2 linked regions of the Caenorhabditis elegans genome follow. The protein of the gene in region 2 interacts with the protein of the main gene of each other region in a pairwise test. Each region holds a gene or a part of one and is shown on either strand. Other genes may lie near its edges. The genes, in order: hmp-1 and csq-1.

Evidence for each region.
Region 1: the proteins of csq-1 (region 2) and hmp-1 interact in a two-hybrid assay, tested with the Caenorhabditis elegans proteins (one study listed by BioGRID).

What each region holds. Positions count from the first base shown.
Region 1 is NC_003283.11:11,844,187-11,852,919, reverse strand, and holds hmp-1 (Vinculin), read right to left. Parts: upstream 7,044-8,733; 5' UTR 7,043-7,043; coding exon 6,659-7,042; intron 6,615-6,658; coding exon 6,159-6,614; intron 6,113-6,158; coding exon 5,909-6,112; intron 5,837-5,908; exon of another isoform or gene 5,614-5,836; intron 5,514-5,613; coding exon 4,983-5,513; intron 4,881-4,982; coding exon 4,053-4,880; intron 3,570-4,052; coding exon 3,429-3,569; coding exon of another isoform or gene 3,381-3,428; exon of another isoform or gene 3,132-3,380; coding exon of another isoform or gene 3,024-3,131; exon of another isoform or gene 2,140-3,023; coding exon 2,039-2,139; intron 1,298-2,038; coding exon 1,150-1,297; 3' UTR 755-1,149; downstream 1-754. UniProt on the Caenorhabditis elegans protein: Required for cell migration during body enclosure and cell shape changes during body elongation. Required for proper localization of other junctional components, such as pac-1.
Region 2 is NC_003284.9:14,683,047-14,689,590, reverse strand, and holds csq-1 (Calsequestrin), read right to left. Parts: upstream 4,715-6,544; 5' UTR 4,714-4,714; coding exon 4,579-4,713; intron 3,631-4,578; coding exon 3,511-3,630; intron 3,465-3,510; coding exon 3,380-3,464; intron 2,749-3,379; coding exon 2,645-2,748; intron 2,592-2,644; coding exon 2,480-2,591; intron 2,431-2,479; coding exon 2,357-2,430; intron 2,185-2,356; coding exon 2,005-2,184; intron 1,958-2,004; coding exon 1,718-1,957; intron 1,671-1,717; coding exon 1,544-1,670; intron 1,500-1,543; coding exon 1,423-1,499; 3' UTR 1,269-1,422; downstream 1-1,268.

The sequences.
Region 1 (8,733 bases), on a different chromosome or scaffold from region 2:
AAAATGAGGCTGCCACATTTTGGAGATTTGTAGAGTTACTGTACTTTGTAACGTAGTTCTACTAACAAGTTTCTAAATAAGATGTTCTATGGTCATCCAAAACAATGACGAGAGACAAAAAACCAGCCAACTTTCGCCCCAAAATAATGAGACTAATAAGGACGCTGGAGCAAGATGAGCGTACAAAATAGTACTAATTAGTATTTGGGTCACCACCATCACTTTGTCTCTCGAAAGAAAAATAAGTTGAATATTCTAGAATCTCGTTGGAAATTCTGTAAGCAGCGTTCCATACACTTTAGGCACGCGATTTCCAGGATTTTTCTGCAGCAACAGCAGCAAAAAAAAAAACGGAAAACCCGGAGGCGTAAGCTTTCAGGAAATTAAAAAGTAACTCGCCGCGTGTGCAAACACGGAAATGCGCAGGAAATTAGGGAATTGAAATTGGGTCTTGAAGCGAAAACATGGGTGGCAATATGGGAATGTGTGAAAATAGTAGGGGATATCCATTTGGGAAGTCTCTCTTGAAGAAAAAAACAATTATGTCCTCCTCCCTTTCTGTTGCTAGTAGTCCAGGAGAAGAGAATAAGGGGAAAAGCAAAACGTAGTACAAATGAAGAAGGAGGCGAGGGTGGAAGGAGAGTTGTTGCACACACTTCCGTTTAGTACCAGCTGCTCGTAATGCTCAGGCACAACAATTTTGACGGTGCCAGATGTACGAGACCTTTTTGATGTCTATATACATAATAAAAATAGGAAAGAATTGAGTTCATCTAATTTGAAAAACTTGTGCACATAGATCAGGGAGTTTAGAAATCAGAATCATACAGAAAAAATCGTTGAAAGGGTGAGGTTGATAGTGCGAAAATAAATTGTAAAGATGTAAAGTTACCTGATTTTCAACAGTATGGATTATGATATTCATGGGGGAGAAAAATGAAAAATGCGGTGATAATGGTGGCGGTGATGAGCTGATAGAATTTAGAGCATTAAACAGAAATGAATACAAAAAATACACAGATACAAATTTCTAGCTGAAGAGAATTGAAAGAATGAGAAAATAATAAAGACTCGGGCATATAAAGGATGTGTGGAAAGATTTGGAAGGGAAAAGTATGAAGATACATGAATAAAACTGAAATAAATTATCTATAAACGACCGTTTATTCTTTGTTGATGCCGGCGATCAAGTTCCTCGTCGTCACTATCACGACCCGTCTCAATCTCGTTACGCGTAAACTCGGCGAGCACTTTAGCTGGTTGCAAAGGTCGCCGTTCGGATGCCCGTCTGCAAACTCTTTATAACATTAGTCGGCGTTCGTTGAATACATCTTTTGAAAGGGGGATTCTAATTAATTTTCTGTAATGGAATAGATAATGATCAAGAATTAGTGATCACCTATCACGGGAACACCAACTTCTGAGTATGCGTATTGCACAACATATTTTTGACGAGCAAAATATCTCGTAGCGAAAACTACAGTAATTATTGTAATGACTACTGTAGCGCTTGTGTCGATTTACGGGGTGCATCTCAAAATCGTAAAATTTAGTTTAATAGGTTTAAAAAATGTCTGAAATCTTATCAAAAATTTTTTCAGGGGGGGAAAATTTTCTGAAAGAAAAGAAAAATTGTGTTTTTTGATGCTTTAAAACTTTCATTTCAATGTCCGAAATCATCCAACTATTCATCACTTTTTATGAACATTGTCGCTTTTTTTTTGCTTTCCGAAAACTCAATTTGCATTTATGATCCTCAAGGGATACACTTTTGCTCAACAAGTCAAGAATATACATTTTGGTGTCGCAGCTCTTTCGGCTTTCACCACTTTTACCACAAAAAAAGGGACTTGGGACTACTGACAATGGCAGCTACGTGCCATTTTCTGGTGGCAGTGCTATTTTTTATGAATTATTCAGGGACCGACTACTTTTTTTCACATGGCTTCTCAATGAAGTGTGTCATATGTCCTTTTGCAGGCAAAGGAAACACTTATAGAGGGATCCTTGATTCAAAAAAAATAGATGAAAACGTTACCTGATTATAGCATTATTCTTTTGTGGTCGAATTAGTGGTTGTTTCTTTGGTGGAGCCATTCGCCACTCGACACGTACACTGTTGGCATTAGGACGACGGAACTGCAAGAATAAGGATGAGTTTCAGGAAGTTATCAGCAAAGAATTCCAAGCATTCGAGCAATTTAAGAAAATGAAACCAACAGCAAACAACATCGAGACACTTTTCATCAACAATAACACATATTTTACGTTCGTATCAATTTCTTTCAAGTTTTTTTTTCAACTTAATCTTCTTTTCTTAGTTAAAGTTGCAATACAATCTAGTTTAAAATGTATGAGTTTTTTACGGGGGAGTATAAGATCACAAGACCGACATATTGGGGGATCGATGTCCACACATCAAGACCGATACAATGCATTTTTAGAAAGTTAAATGTTTTTTTGTTGGGAAAACGATTTTTAAGTGTGAAGGGAAAATAAGAAAGGGATGTCCTTACCAATTTGAATTAACATATTTAACTGGAATTGTTTTCTTTTTTTTGGAATATAATGAAAATTAATTTGTATTTTCTAGGATTCAGGAAATCTATAAAAATCTGAGATTTTGCTTTTAATTTTTGGCTAAATTCCATGTTTGAATTCGCACCAAACTGAGAGAATTCAAATAGGGAATCGCCAAAAATTGAAAAATCTGATTTTCGAAAATTCGACATTTCATTCTTTCTCTTTTTTGGGTATTTCTGAGAATCAAACTATTCTGGATTTTTTTAAAGCAAAATCCCTACTCCATTAAAAAAAAATCGTCAAACATTAATAGTCTTAACCACTGATTTGAACTCAAGACATAAGCTTTTTTTAACTATAAAAAATATTTACCATTAAATTACGCAGCAGCCAACGTAAATTTTGAGAAAAAAGCAAAAAATTAAATTCGACATGCTCAATATCTCTTTTTCTCAAAAACAACATCGATAAAACCACACAACACGATATTTAATGCTTTCTCATTTTTTCTCACCAGATTCATCCATCGGACTTTCATAATTAATAGCTTTGTGAGCATCGCTAAGCGCAACGGCTGATTCGACTCGAGCACGTTCGCGTTGTGCACACTATTGAGAATGTTTTTTTTTTTTTTTAATTTTATTTATTTAATTTTCTAAAACTTTTGGGTACACTTTCTAAAATCTCAAAATTCAGTGTACAAAAGGCAACTGGTCTATTGGCACTTTAAACCACGTGTCTACTCAAAAGAGTGGGCGAAATACCATCTGATTTGAAATGAATTACGTAAGCAGCCGTTATCGTCTGTACGAAAAAAGAAATGTGTGATAAATGCTGGAAAGCAATAGTATCAGACATCAAGTGGGAATAATAATTAATGTTTTGTTTAAAGAAAGGGAACCAACCTTGGTACTGGCAATGTATGCAGCTTTAACAGTCTGTACAACAGCAGTTAAAAGATTTCGAGCCGTTTGAATAAGAGACATTGCAGAGTCAAGTGCAGATACGACAAGCTCATTTCCAACTTGAGTCACATCAGCTTTCACCTGAAATATTACTTTCTATTAAAAGTTTAAAGTTATATTTCACATGGTTTTTTGAAAGCAATTTAAACAAAACTTATTTATAGTAAGTATATGAACAATTTTCTAGTATAAGTGAGGCCAATCACAATTTTTTTTTCATTTTTCATGGCTTCAGTCTAGAGCTTGGTTCGCAAAAAAAACGCGAAGTAAAATTATATCTCTACTGAAATCGTTAAAAACAGTTGAAACCTCTTTTGGTGAAATATCACACTATCTATAAGTTTTTTTTTTTAATTCTCAATTTTTTCAAAAACTTTTCAGATAATTCTGAAAAATACGAGATTCTTTTCAGTTTTAGTTTTTATAGACGCGTTTTTAATTGTGAATCTTTACAATTTTCTTGAAAAACTAATTTGACAAATTTAAAAAACCCCCGAAACAAACAATTGACCAAAAACATTTGGTACGCTTTTACAGCTCGTGGCACCAATTAAAAAAACTCACCTTACTACAAATATTCAGTTGCTGACAATATAGAGTGATTTGTGACAAATATGCGAGCAAATCCTTTTTCGTCTGCGAATCAGCACTTTCTTCTCCAATCTGCCGTGCCAATGCATTTAGTTTTGATCCATTAAGTGAGATTTCTTGTGCTGCTCGGATAACATCCATTGTCGTTTTCAATGGCCCACAACCTCTTGTGAATTCTGTCATACTCATCATAATCTTACACATATTATTGGCCAATGATATAATATCATTTCCTGTTTCATCCCACTTGGCAACTTCTCTTTCGAATCGTGTTTGTGTTACTTTGAAGATATCAATTTGTGCTTGAATTTTCTTTTTCTCTTCTTCTGGCAATCGTCTCATCAGATTCTGTTGATTTTCTTGTTCGGATATCGTACGATTAGCATCTGCATTTGCTGCACCAACACCATCAGCTTCATACTCTACATCCGAATCAACATCATTCATACTTCGGTTCATTAAAAGTGCATGTCGAATGTCTTTAACTGCATCGTGAACTAATGTACAAGCATTGATAAATTCATTCATTTCTTCTTCCTTTGTTTTTGGATCCCATGTAAGTCCGTGTGCTTCTTGACGGTTGGCTAAAGCGCTCGCACGCTCAGCGAATTGATCTACACGTTGAGTTTTCAAAATCCGAACAGCTTGCTTAACAGTTTCAGTGTATTCAGAGTTCTGAAGGAAGTCCATTTCAGCATCGACAACGTCACAGACTCGGAGAGCTCGTCCACGTATCGATCCGGCAGCACAGTCGACAGTTTCACAGTTGGCCGCATTTTCATCCGGTGTTGAAGCGTTTGCCTGGAAAATTCAGTTTGAACGTCTCAAAAGTTGACGAATTTAGCGAAAACTATTTTTGTTAATTTTCATTAAATTTAAAATTTTGAGAACTAAAATACTTACCGTGATACCTTTGATTCCCCGCTCACAGTCTTCAACAATATGTGCTTCACTGACAGCCAAAAAGTCGTCCAAAGTAGTGATATTGTCAAGAGCAGTCGTTAACAATCTCACTTTGTCAAACCAAGCATTTTTATAGGTTTCCATGTTCTCTTGAGCAGTTTTTGAAGTAGGTTGATGGCAAAGTAAGATGGCAGCTTGAGCAACTTGTGGAGCAAGTTTTTCAAGTTGAGCAGCCGTATGCTGAATGACACTAACACTTTCAACATCTGATGAAAGTTGACAAGAAAGACGAGCAACTGAAACAATTTCATTTGCATGCTCTTGGAACATCTTTGAACGATATCTTGTATTCTCTTCATGGCCTTCTTTAGCAGCTTCTATCAGTAAAATAAGCGGTGTACGGGTATCCAGGAAAGCATCACTTATATGATCTACAATTGCACGACGAAGGTGTCGCCGGAGATCTTTTGTTCTTTTGTGTACTTCTGCGATTCCAAGAGGAATATCATCATTATCATCTCTTCGGCCGGTCTGAAAAATTACAGATTTAAAACATAGTTAAACAGGTCGTAATAAGCTTTAAATTTTATTGTAAAAACTTTGTAGTCTCTATATTTTCTACTACTACAAATTTTTTAAAGAATTTCCCCGAAATTCTAAAAAAAACATTTTCCATGTCTGAACTCGCGGTGGTCATTTTTTTTTCTAAAAAACGGCTTTAGTTCGAGTTCGGTTAACAAACAAAAACAGTTGTTCTCGCCCTGAGGGACAAGGCGTCACACTTGAAAGAACGCACGATTGTTTGTTTGTTTGTTCTCACCGTCTCCATCGCCCTTTTGTGAAAAAGATGCGCTTCTTTGAATGTTTTTTATTTCTTTTTATTTTAAACGAGGCAACAAGTCAAGAGATCAATAGAAAAAACTTACAGATTTTTCATATTCGGTCAAAAGTTCTTGAAGAGCTTGCCGCAAATTATTGCATTCAGCAACAATTTTTTGTTTTCGATTTTCACGAGTGCTTTCAGCATCGGCAATTGAAGCAGAACCACTAACAATTCGTTCACAATGTCCTTCAAGATCTGGACGATCAGTTCCTCGACGATAATGGGCTGGATCAATTTCGATTCGATTCTTAAAATAAATTATTTGTCTTATTATTTGAAATTTTTAAACTCACTTGAAAAGTATCGATTTCATTGATAAGATCGCCTATTCTTCCATATTCAGAAAATGTTACTTTCGGTTGTTGTCCGTTTAAAACAGATTCAAGAGCATTTAAAGCAGAATGCATTTCATCTGCAGTGTAATCACGATTTCTTCGAGCTTCTTCATGTTCTGGATGTCTTACAAATGTTCGTGTTGAAGTATACAGAAGTGGTGCAGTCTGTCGAAGTGCTGATCTTGCTGCTAGAAGATCATCTCTCTGATTTGGTTTAACCAAATCAATGGCTCGTCGTCGAACAGTGATATCAAGTTCTTCGATTTGAGAAATGAGAAGATTGTACAAATCATCTACTTTGATTTTTGTATCCGCTTCAATCATTTGGTGTGCAGTTTCTCGAACTTCATCTACTTTATCAACTATCACTTTTACATCAATCGAGTCGGCAAGAATTAGGAATTTAGCGACAGCCTGAATACAACATTTTTCAGTTAAAAGAGTACCTAAAAACTTACAGTCAACAAATTTCTACCAGAATTCGTTGCAATAGCTCGTTTGTTTGTTGAAGTTGAATCTCTGACAAAATCTCTTCCAGTTTGAATCATCACTTGCCCAGTATCTTGAACTGCTCCAAGAGCTTCGTGCAATAAATCAATTGCGCGTGGATCACTGTTTGCAATTGGGCATTTCGAAATTGCAAAGCTTCCCGTTTGAAGAAAATTAGCAACGGCAGCATCAAGAGTGGCGACAAGTCCTTCAGTAGTTTGTCCAGGTTTTAACGGAAACGTTTCAGTGATGTTGGTCACTTCATTGATTAATTGAGTAATTTGTTTCAAAACATTTTTCGAGCGCACTTCGTCGATGTTGAAATACGCATGAGAATTGCCATTCGCAGGCATTCTGAAAATTAATAAAATTGAAAATTCAGATTAGAATGCAAATAAAACGAAGAGAAATAATATTTATATTGAGATGAAATCAAAAAATATAAAAAGAAATACATAACCTTACATTAAAGTATCGATTAGAACTACTGTTAGATTTGAAGGCGCACGATAAAGAAGGGGTGGTTGGTCTCAAAGAGATCCAAGAGGGTACTGTCACCGTTAAACTTTATTGGCAAACACAGAATTTACTTATTCTTTGAGAAAATGACTCATATAAAATAAAAATCTTTACTCTAACTTTTCAAAAATTAAAAATTAAATTTTCAATGAAAAAAATAAAAAATCCTTTCGCAAAATAGCGAGAAACAAGTGTGGTGGGGCCTGTGAGGCCTTTCGGGTGTTTACTCAACGAAAAAACAAAACAATTAATAGGGGATTATGTTTCACATGCCGGCAATTTAGGAAATAACTATTTTTTAAATAAAATTTAAGAAAAAAACAAATTCGAAAATTAAAATTTCGACCGAAAATGAAGAAACTTAGTTTTTATTTGCCATGTTGAATATATGTTTCACACTCAAAAATTTTCAAATAAAAAAGTTGCGAAGCCAAAAAGTCACAAAAAGCAAACTTTTGAGGTATTTGCGAGTGAGAAGTGAATATGGTGAAAACGATGATTCCGCACCATCAACCGGTGTACGAAGACACTGTTAAATATAGAGAGAAAGAAGACACATAAAGAAATGATGATTCAGTCGGGTTGGCCGGTCGGTCAGTCAGCGGGTGACGAGTGAGCGGAGAGAAGGGTATAAGAACGGACGAGCGGCGGGAATAGAGGACGAAGAGGCAAGGACACTGGTCAATGGAGATGAAGAGACACAGACATTGGGACGGACGGAAGCAGGACGGTTCCCTTCGGGATGAGCAGAGACTCGACAGATGGAGAAGATGACCGAATTGAGTTTGTTTGCCCGACTCCCATGGATTATAAAATTGGGTACGTATGGCCTATGTTGGGGCAACTGCAGCAGCAGCGTGTGAGTGTGCGCCCCGGAAATAAAGGACTTTTATGGAAGGAGTATTGAGAAGATGATGGAAAAGGGACAAAAAGTTTCCCTTTTGTTTTGACGTCTTCTACGTCTTATTCGGAGATTTCGAGGGATAATTCTGAGGGATATGGAAGGACAGTGAATTGATGCATCATCATCATATTCTTATATTGGGTATTGAAATTTAAATTTGAATACGACCGAAACAATTTCTCGTTTCAAAAAAGTGGAATCTGAGTCATAGAGAAGTCTGAATCACGTTTTGTACACGGCAGCAGCTGTTTGTAAACTTTGAATCGCGGGGGTGAACTGAAGTGAAAAAAAAGAAAAAAAACTAGGAAAAATCAGGGAAAGTACATTTTTGAGATTGCATTTTTCTGAGAACCTGAACTTTCTCAGATGATATCAACAACATTATTAATCACTGCAACACGATCTGTGCTATTGTAAAAATATGTTCAATAATAATTTGATTTAGAGTCTATTTTGTCCCAATTTTAAGAGGTTTCTCCTGTCTAAACTTTCATAGACAATTTACGGAAATCTAGTAACTGTTGCCGGCTTATTGAACTTTTTCACTGGAGTTACTAAGATACTTATAGAATTTTTACGAAGTGTGGCCAAGATGTTCCTCAATTCAGCTTGACCCCAGGT
Region 2 (6,544 bases):
AAAAAAGCATTGAGAAGTTGTGAAAAATGCTAGCATTTCACTGTAAACAATAAAACGACCATACTTCAAAAATATAATTTCAACGAAAAAAAACCTTGAAAAAACTTTGGCAACTGCCGGTTGCCAAAATTTTTAGGGTTCGGTAACTTCGGTAATTGCAGGTTGCCGAAAATCTTGGTTGCCGCACAGCCCTGATATACACTAGGAATATATATATATATATATTCCAGGTAACAGATTTTTAAAATAATTCAAGAAAATTGAGACGGTCCATGAAAAGCCATGTTTTATAAATCACTATTTAAATATATGCAATTGAAAAAATAGTATAAAAACTTGTGAAACACGTTATTTTAATGTATTTATTTGGTATTTAAATTCAAAATTAAGCACATCTGTCAAAATAGTCAGAAATTAATGTTATAAACACTGATATGAACACCTTGCGCCGCACAACAGTTGTCAAGTATTAAGGAAGTACTGTGGACTTACCCAACATGTACATACTCACCAGTCAGCTAGATATGATATTAAACAAAAATGGAAGGCTTTCACATAAAATTGTTACACATTTTTCATTGGTGACAAACTGTCTTGCAATTTCCAACTCAACTTCACCAAGTACTCCACAGTTCCATGTGTTGCCTTTTTGTCTCAAGGTAGCCCATAATTGTTTTCATCTAACGGAAATTTGAAAGAAAGACATACCAATACATACACAATGGTAATTATCGTATTGCCTTTGCTTCGCAACGTAGTTTGCTGACACTCACCCTCACTGTTTCTGGTTCTCATTGCATTTAAAACGGGCATTTTTGCTATTTTCTGAGTGCAATGTGTGTATGTATGTATGTCTAAGGTCAGAACAAAAACTCAATGAAAATGAGGACTGTCAATCATCTGACTGGTTTTTGTGGAACAATATTGAAAAAAGTAGTGGAGAATTTTGGACGATGGAGTTTTGAAAATTATGAGCTTGGACAGGAAAAAACGTTTTGCAATGAGCAACTAGACATGTGACCTACAAGATAAAATTTCCGGAAATTCATATATATACATATATATATATATGTGTGGGCATATTACAAAACAATAAAAAATTTTACTAAATACGATGCTAAAACCAAAAATATATAGATCCTTGGCATCCGAGGCAAAACATCCTAAATCACTGCAGAGTTGAACGCTTTTTACAACAAACATTTAATTATTTCATTTGTTCTTTATTATATATTAGGGTCACTTGTAGCATAAAACAATGCCGTATTGAAATTCCAAAAAAGTTTATTTTGAACGAAAACATTGTGTCTAACTAGAAGAAACTACCAAGCGGCAACCATTAAAATGTCATGAAAAGAAGTGTTTAAGGTGTGATAACAATACGTGAAAAATAAGAATAGGTAGATCAAAAACGTGATTTTTTTACAGCTCCTTTCTAGACTTCTTTCCCTTTGGAGTTGGTGGTGGTGCTGGTGGCTCTGGCTCATCATCATCATCATCTGAAATTATTTTTTATAGATTTTTAGTTGAAAAAGTTATTCACCATCAAGAGAAATAGATCCGGAAAGAATCTGATCGATCCATGATTGGAGAGCCTCGAAGTTGGAGTCGGAGTGTTTCTTTGGATCATCCAAATTCACTTGAGACATATCGAACCAGATTCCTTCTTTCTGAAATATACATTCTATTAATTGACAAATAAAATAGAGTCTGCTACCTCAGAAATATCAATAAGTCCGATTTGAGGTCCTTCCTCAATATCGATTCCGAACATATCCTCCCACACATCAACCATAAGTGGGAACTCATCAGGGTCGACAAGAATGATTTCCAGGGTTCCAGCGTGCTCGGAGTTCTCATCGGCGATCTTGTCAAGGAGCCTCTTCATGGCTCTTCCCTCACGGGTTTCCTCGTCAACGAATGCCAAGATCATTCTCTCCTCCTCTTCGGGATCTCTCTGGAGCACGATTATTTTTTTCTAGCAAGGATATAAACTTTACATACCCAAAGGTTGAAGTAATTGTCAAGGGTGAGTTTTTGCATAACTGGCTCCTTGTTCTTCTCAACCCAGTCTTCGAATTCTTCCTCGGTATCAGCGGAAGTTGGGGCGAAAAGTGGATCTTCCTCAAATGGTCTGCGCATTTGGACCTCTCCGACTCTCTTTAGTCCGACTTTGCGTGCCCACTAAAAATACATTTATTAAAGAATATCGATTTTAAGTTATTTTTTTTCAAGTACCATATTTGATATTTAAGCGTGAAAATTGGGGTACATATAATAATTCAAAAATGAAAAATCAACATCTATTATACTTTTTCATAATACATTTTTGAAAAAAAATGCTCTCAACACTTACTTTAGATGTCACAACTGCGAAGAATTCGATCTCTCCCATAAAGTCTTCAGCGGCTTCCTCGAACTCCTTGAGAGCTGAAATTCTTTTAAAATTTATGCATGACAGCTTGTTCACATTCCGTACCAACTGATCCTGGCTCAAAGTATCCAATAATTCTGACACATTCGTCATCCATATTTTCAAACTCTTCCAAGTCATGTTCATCATTGATAATAGTCACTGGATCGTCTGGGATCTTAAATTGAAAAATAATTTATGGAATTAGCAAAAACTTAATAAATAACGTACATCCATCAGCCATGAAACAAAAGTTTCTGGATCACGAACACCATTGTACTCGATCTTGTAACCATCCTTGTACACGTGAATAGTGTCCTCTCCCTTTTCAACTTCTGAAATTTTGAATCAAGAATTAATGAAGAATTAGAAGGTTAACCAATTCTTAAATGTTTTTTTATTTAAATTAAGTTTCCACAAGTTTTGTGAAGCTTCGACAACATAAAATGATTAATTGGTAAAAATAATATTCGATTATGGTCCATTCTCGGAAACGTCACACTACGTGCTAAATGTTAAATTTTCCGTGAATTTCAAATTCTGAACTTTTATAAAAATATTTTATAAATCAAATTAACAAAAAAAGTAAAATTTGACACCTGTAGCAGCCACTATGAATGAGATCGTGACGAGACCCACTTTAAAAAATCAATTCATGACTTTAAACGGACATTTCAAAATTTCGTAGCATTACAATGTGGGTACATATAAATGAGATATGCACCAACTTACGAAAAAGAAATGTACAATCTTGCCAAAAAAGATATGTACCAACTTTCAAGAAATGGAAAAATATGAGGTAAAACATCATATTTCTATTTTTACTTTTGGCATAGAACAATTAATTTTTAGCAATACGTACGTTTCAATAATTATAACCATGTAATACAAATATTGAATTTTTTGAAAACATGACACAAAAATATGGAATATTTTTTAAGTTTTTGTGGAACAGCAAATGTTTACCTTCCTGCTTCCTCAAGCGATGTTCTTTGGTGGTGTTGACAGTGTAAAAGTTGTATCCTCTCTTGGTCATAATTTGAGCAGACAACTAAAATTCATAAATTAAAAATAAACTATCAAATTTTGAATTTCACCTGAAGGAAGCACTCATACTGGTCAAGCTCTGAGTCGTCCTCTTCCACGTCGTTGAAGAACACTACCGATTTGGTGTCTTCAGCGAAAACAGTTCTGTTGAAGTTCTTCTCGGTCAGAACCTGCAATTATTGATTTTTTTTTGTTGAGTGAAGATGAATATCTGTTGCAGTGTAATATGATAGGTTGGTTCGAAAACCCCGGATGTCGAAAATTTTGTTATAGGTCAAGTTTTGCTAGAATGACGCAATTGTTTACTGACATTGTGAAGTTAAATTAATGTCTTGTTATTGAGTAATTTAAGTTAAAGAATTAAATGAAAAATGATGATCAAGATAGTCGAGAACAATTGTTCTCAAAATTTTTTAGTTTTGAACTATAGGAACTAACTATAGGAATCTATAGTCTGCTTAGAAGTTGTTTTTATTTAATTATTGATAATTTTAAACTCAAATATTATCGAAAAATACGATCGCACAATTTTCTCATAATTTATTTTTGATCTACCTTGTTGACGAGGCTCCTCCCCTTCCTTCGACAAGACAGCCACAACAAAATAACAACGGCGACAAGATTGGGGGCGGAGACAACAGGTAGATCAAAAGTAAATTATGAGAAATGTGTGCGATCGTATTTTTTCGATAATACTAATGAATAATGTTTCAAAAAAATTTTTTAAAAAAATCGCTTCTAACCAAATAACTATTAACTATACCTTCTAGTTAGTGGATAAATTGTTGAAAAATCTAGAAACTTGTTCAGTTTTGGTATTTTGGTAATTTTGGATTCTAAAAAGTTGATTGACTCTAAAATAATATTTTTATTGGCAAATTTGAACGGAAAAAAAGCCTAAGAAGGAAAAAGAAAAAAAGCCTGAAAGTTCACTGGCAATTCTCGCCAACTCTTGCCAACTAAAATTGACAAAATTGACAAAATTCTCATTTATTTCTATGTACATTCATTTTTGATTTGTAAAAAAAAAAACAAAATCGGTAGTTTTGCAGATTTTCAGAAAAGATTTGCAGAATGGACAAAATAGACATTATAAATCCTATATCCAAATAACTCACCTCAGTTCTGTCGAATCCGTCGTATTCGAGATCTGGATATCCTAAGAACATGCATTCCAAGTCTTCGTTTTTGGAGATGCCTGCACTTGCAAGCACAACCACTAGCGCAAGGCTAGCAAGTTTGATCCAAGTCATTCTAAAGACAACGCAACTTATTTTTTGCTGTAGAAAAAAGCGAGAGATAAAAGGAAGGAAGGATGTGCATGGAGATCTTTTCAAAAAAAGAAGACAAAAAAGTGACACGAAACAAGGATAGAAAAGTCAAAGGGTATAGTGTGTGGAAAAGGTCCGCGCTAGCTGTTGGCGGCTGCTGCATTGGCACTGATGTTCTTCTCTTTGATCGCTATTCTTACACAATTCCACTGCCATCCGCGGGGCCCCGCCAGCTTTCGTTGTAAAGGGGGGAGCTGAGAATAAGCTTGATACCGAGGTAGCGAAACGAGCACAGCAGGAAGCTCCTGAGGCGCCTTTTCCTCCGGTGACTGATTGACTTTACACTATATATTTGTCGAGATGAAAACAAAAACTACGTGAAAGAAGATGAAGAAGCTGAAGGAGTGTGGGCGAGATTGGAGGTGAGGCAACAGTGTTTGTGGGGGCAATTGGAAGAGTTCATATCTCTAATAAATCAATAACGTGAGGGGAACATGCAACTTTCCAACTTTTTTCATAGCTGGCAACTTGAAAATAACCGTACAAGCATTCAAGTAGATGTTTGCATAGGAGAAAAACACATGAAACATGATATCATTCCTCACACTGTCTACTTTGAAAATTTAAATACACTTAATAAAATCGCGCAGCCGACATTCACTGAGACTCGCGTCGAACCACAGTAAATCCGTTTAGGGCGTTACATAGAATCCATCAAAAGTTTACCACCAAAAACACTTTATTCTCATATTTAGGCTTAGGAATTACCACTTTAAAATGTTATTGAGGATCGAAAATAGTGTAACAATAGTAAAGAAACATAAGTGTTTGAGTTACAACTTTTCGGGGTTCAGCTACTGTAAATTAATTAACTGAGTTCTGGATTAAATATTTAGTTTCGAAGTGTCTCTAAATTTCGGAATAAAATTGTTTTAAAAATATGTTTCAATTATAATTCGAACACGGAAAAATTGTTATACTGAAGGATATCTTCAAATTAGAGGGAATTAACAGAACAGAACAAAGGTAACATGATTTCCAAGTAACAGCTCATATTTCGGTGCCAACATTTTTTTGCACCGAAACATTTGTTTTTAAATCAACTTTTCGCAAAAAAAAAGTGTTCCTCATCTGCCCACACATCTGGCAAAGAATATCTATAGCATTCGGCTTTCAAAAACCAAACGGCAGTCTTCATCATAACCAACCGACTGACGTCACTGCTCGAAATAATTTTTCATCTTCGACGTAGAAATTTGCGAAATGAAATCAATCGGTACCGCTAACTAATACTGCCATTCGCCCTACTCCTCATCTTGCTCAATAAATCGGCAAACATATCACCCTCTACCCGCTTGGTAGGGGGGCACATTTATCCGAATTTATTTGCGTCTGCGATCACTCAAGCCAACACACCACACAAAAACTTGATTTTTCAAGGATTGATCAGTAAATCAGCGATCGGGGTAGTATTATGGGATTTGCATTTCGTTTGTGGAATTAGTGAATTGACGTGGCAAGGAAGAATCTGGTAAAGCAAACGTTTTATGTGGTATCGTTGAGAATCTGGATTTGGAAATTGAAAAATAAAATATAAAAATTCGAATCGTAAATTGATAAAATATAGTGGTCCTTGTGAAATTGCTGTGTACTCCAAAAAGTTGTTCATTTCTTGAAAATTGAAAACTGGCCTTATTTTTATGCCTAGGTATGGTTGAAGTGACTATTCAAGCAACCCCACAAGTAACAACATAATATTACAATTGGAATATGACATGTCAAAAATCGAGGATCTAGGAGTTCAAGGGATAAT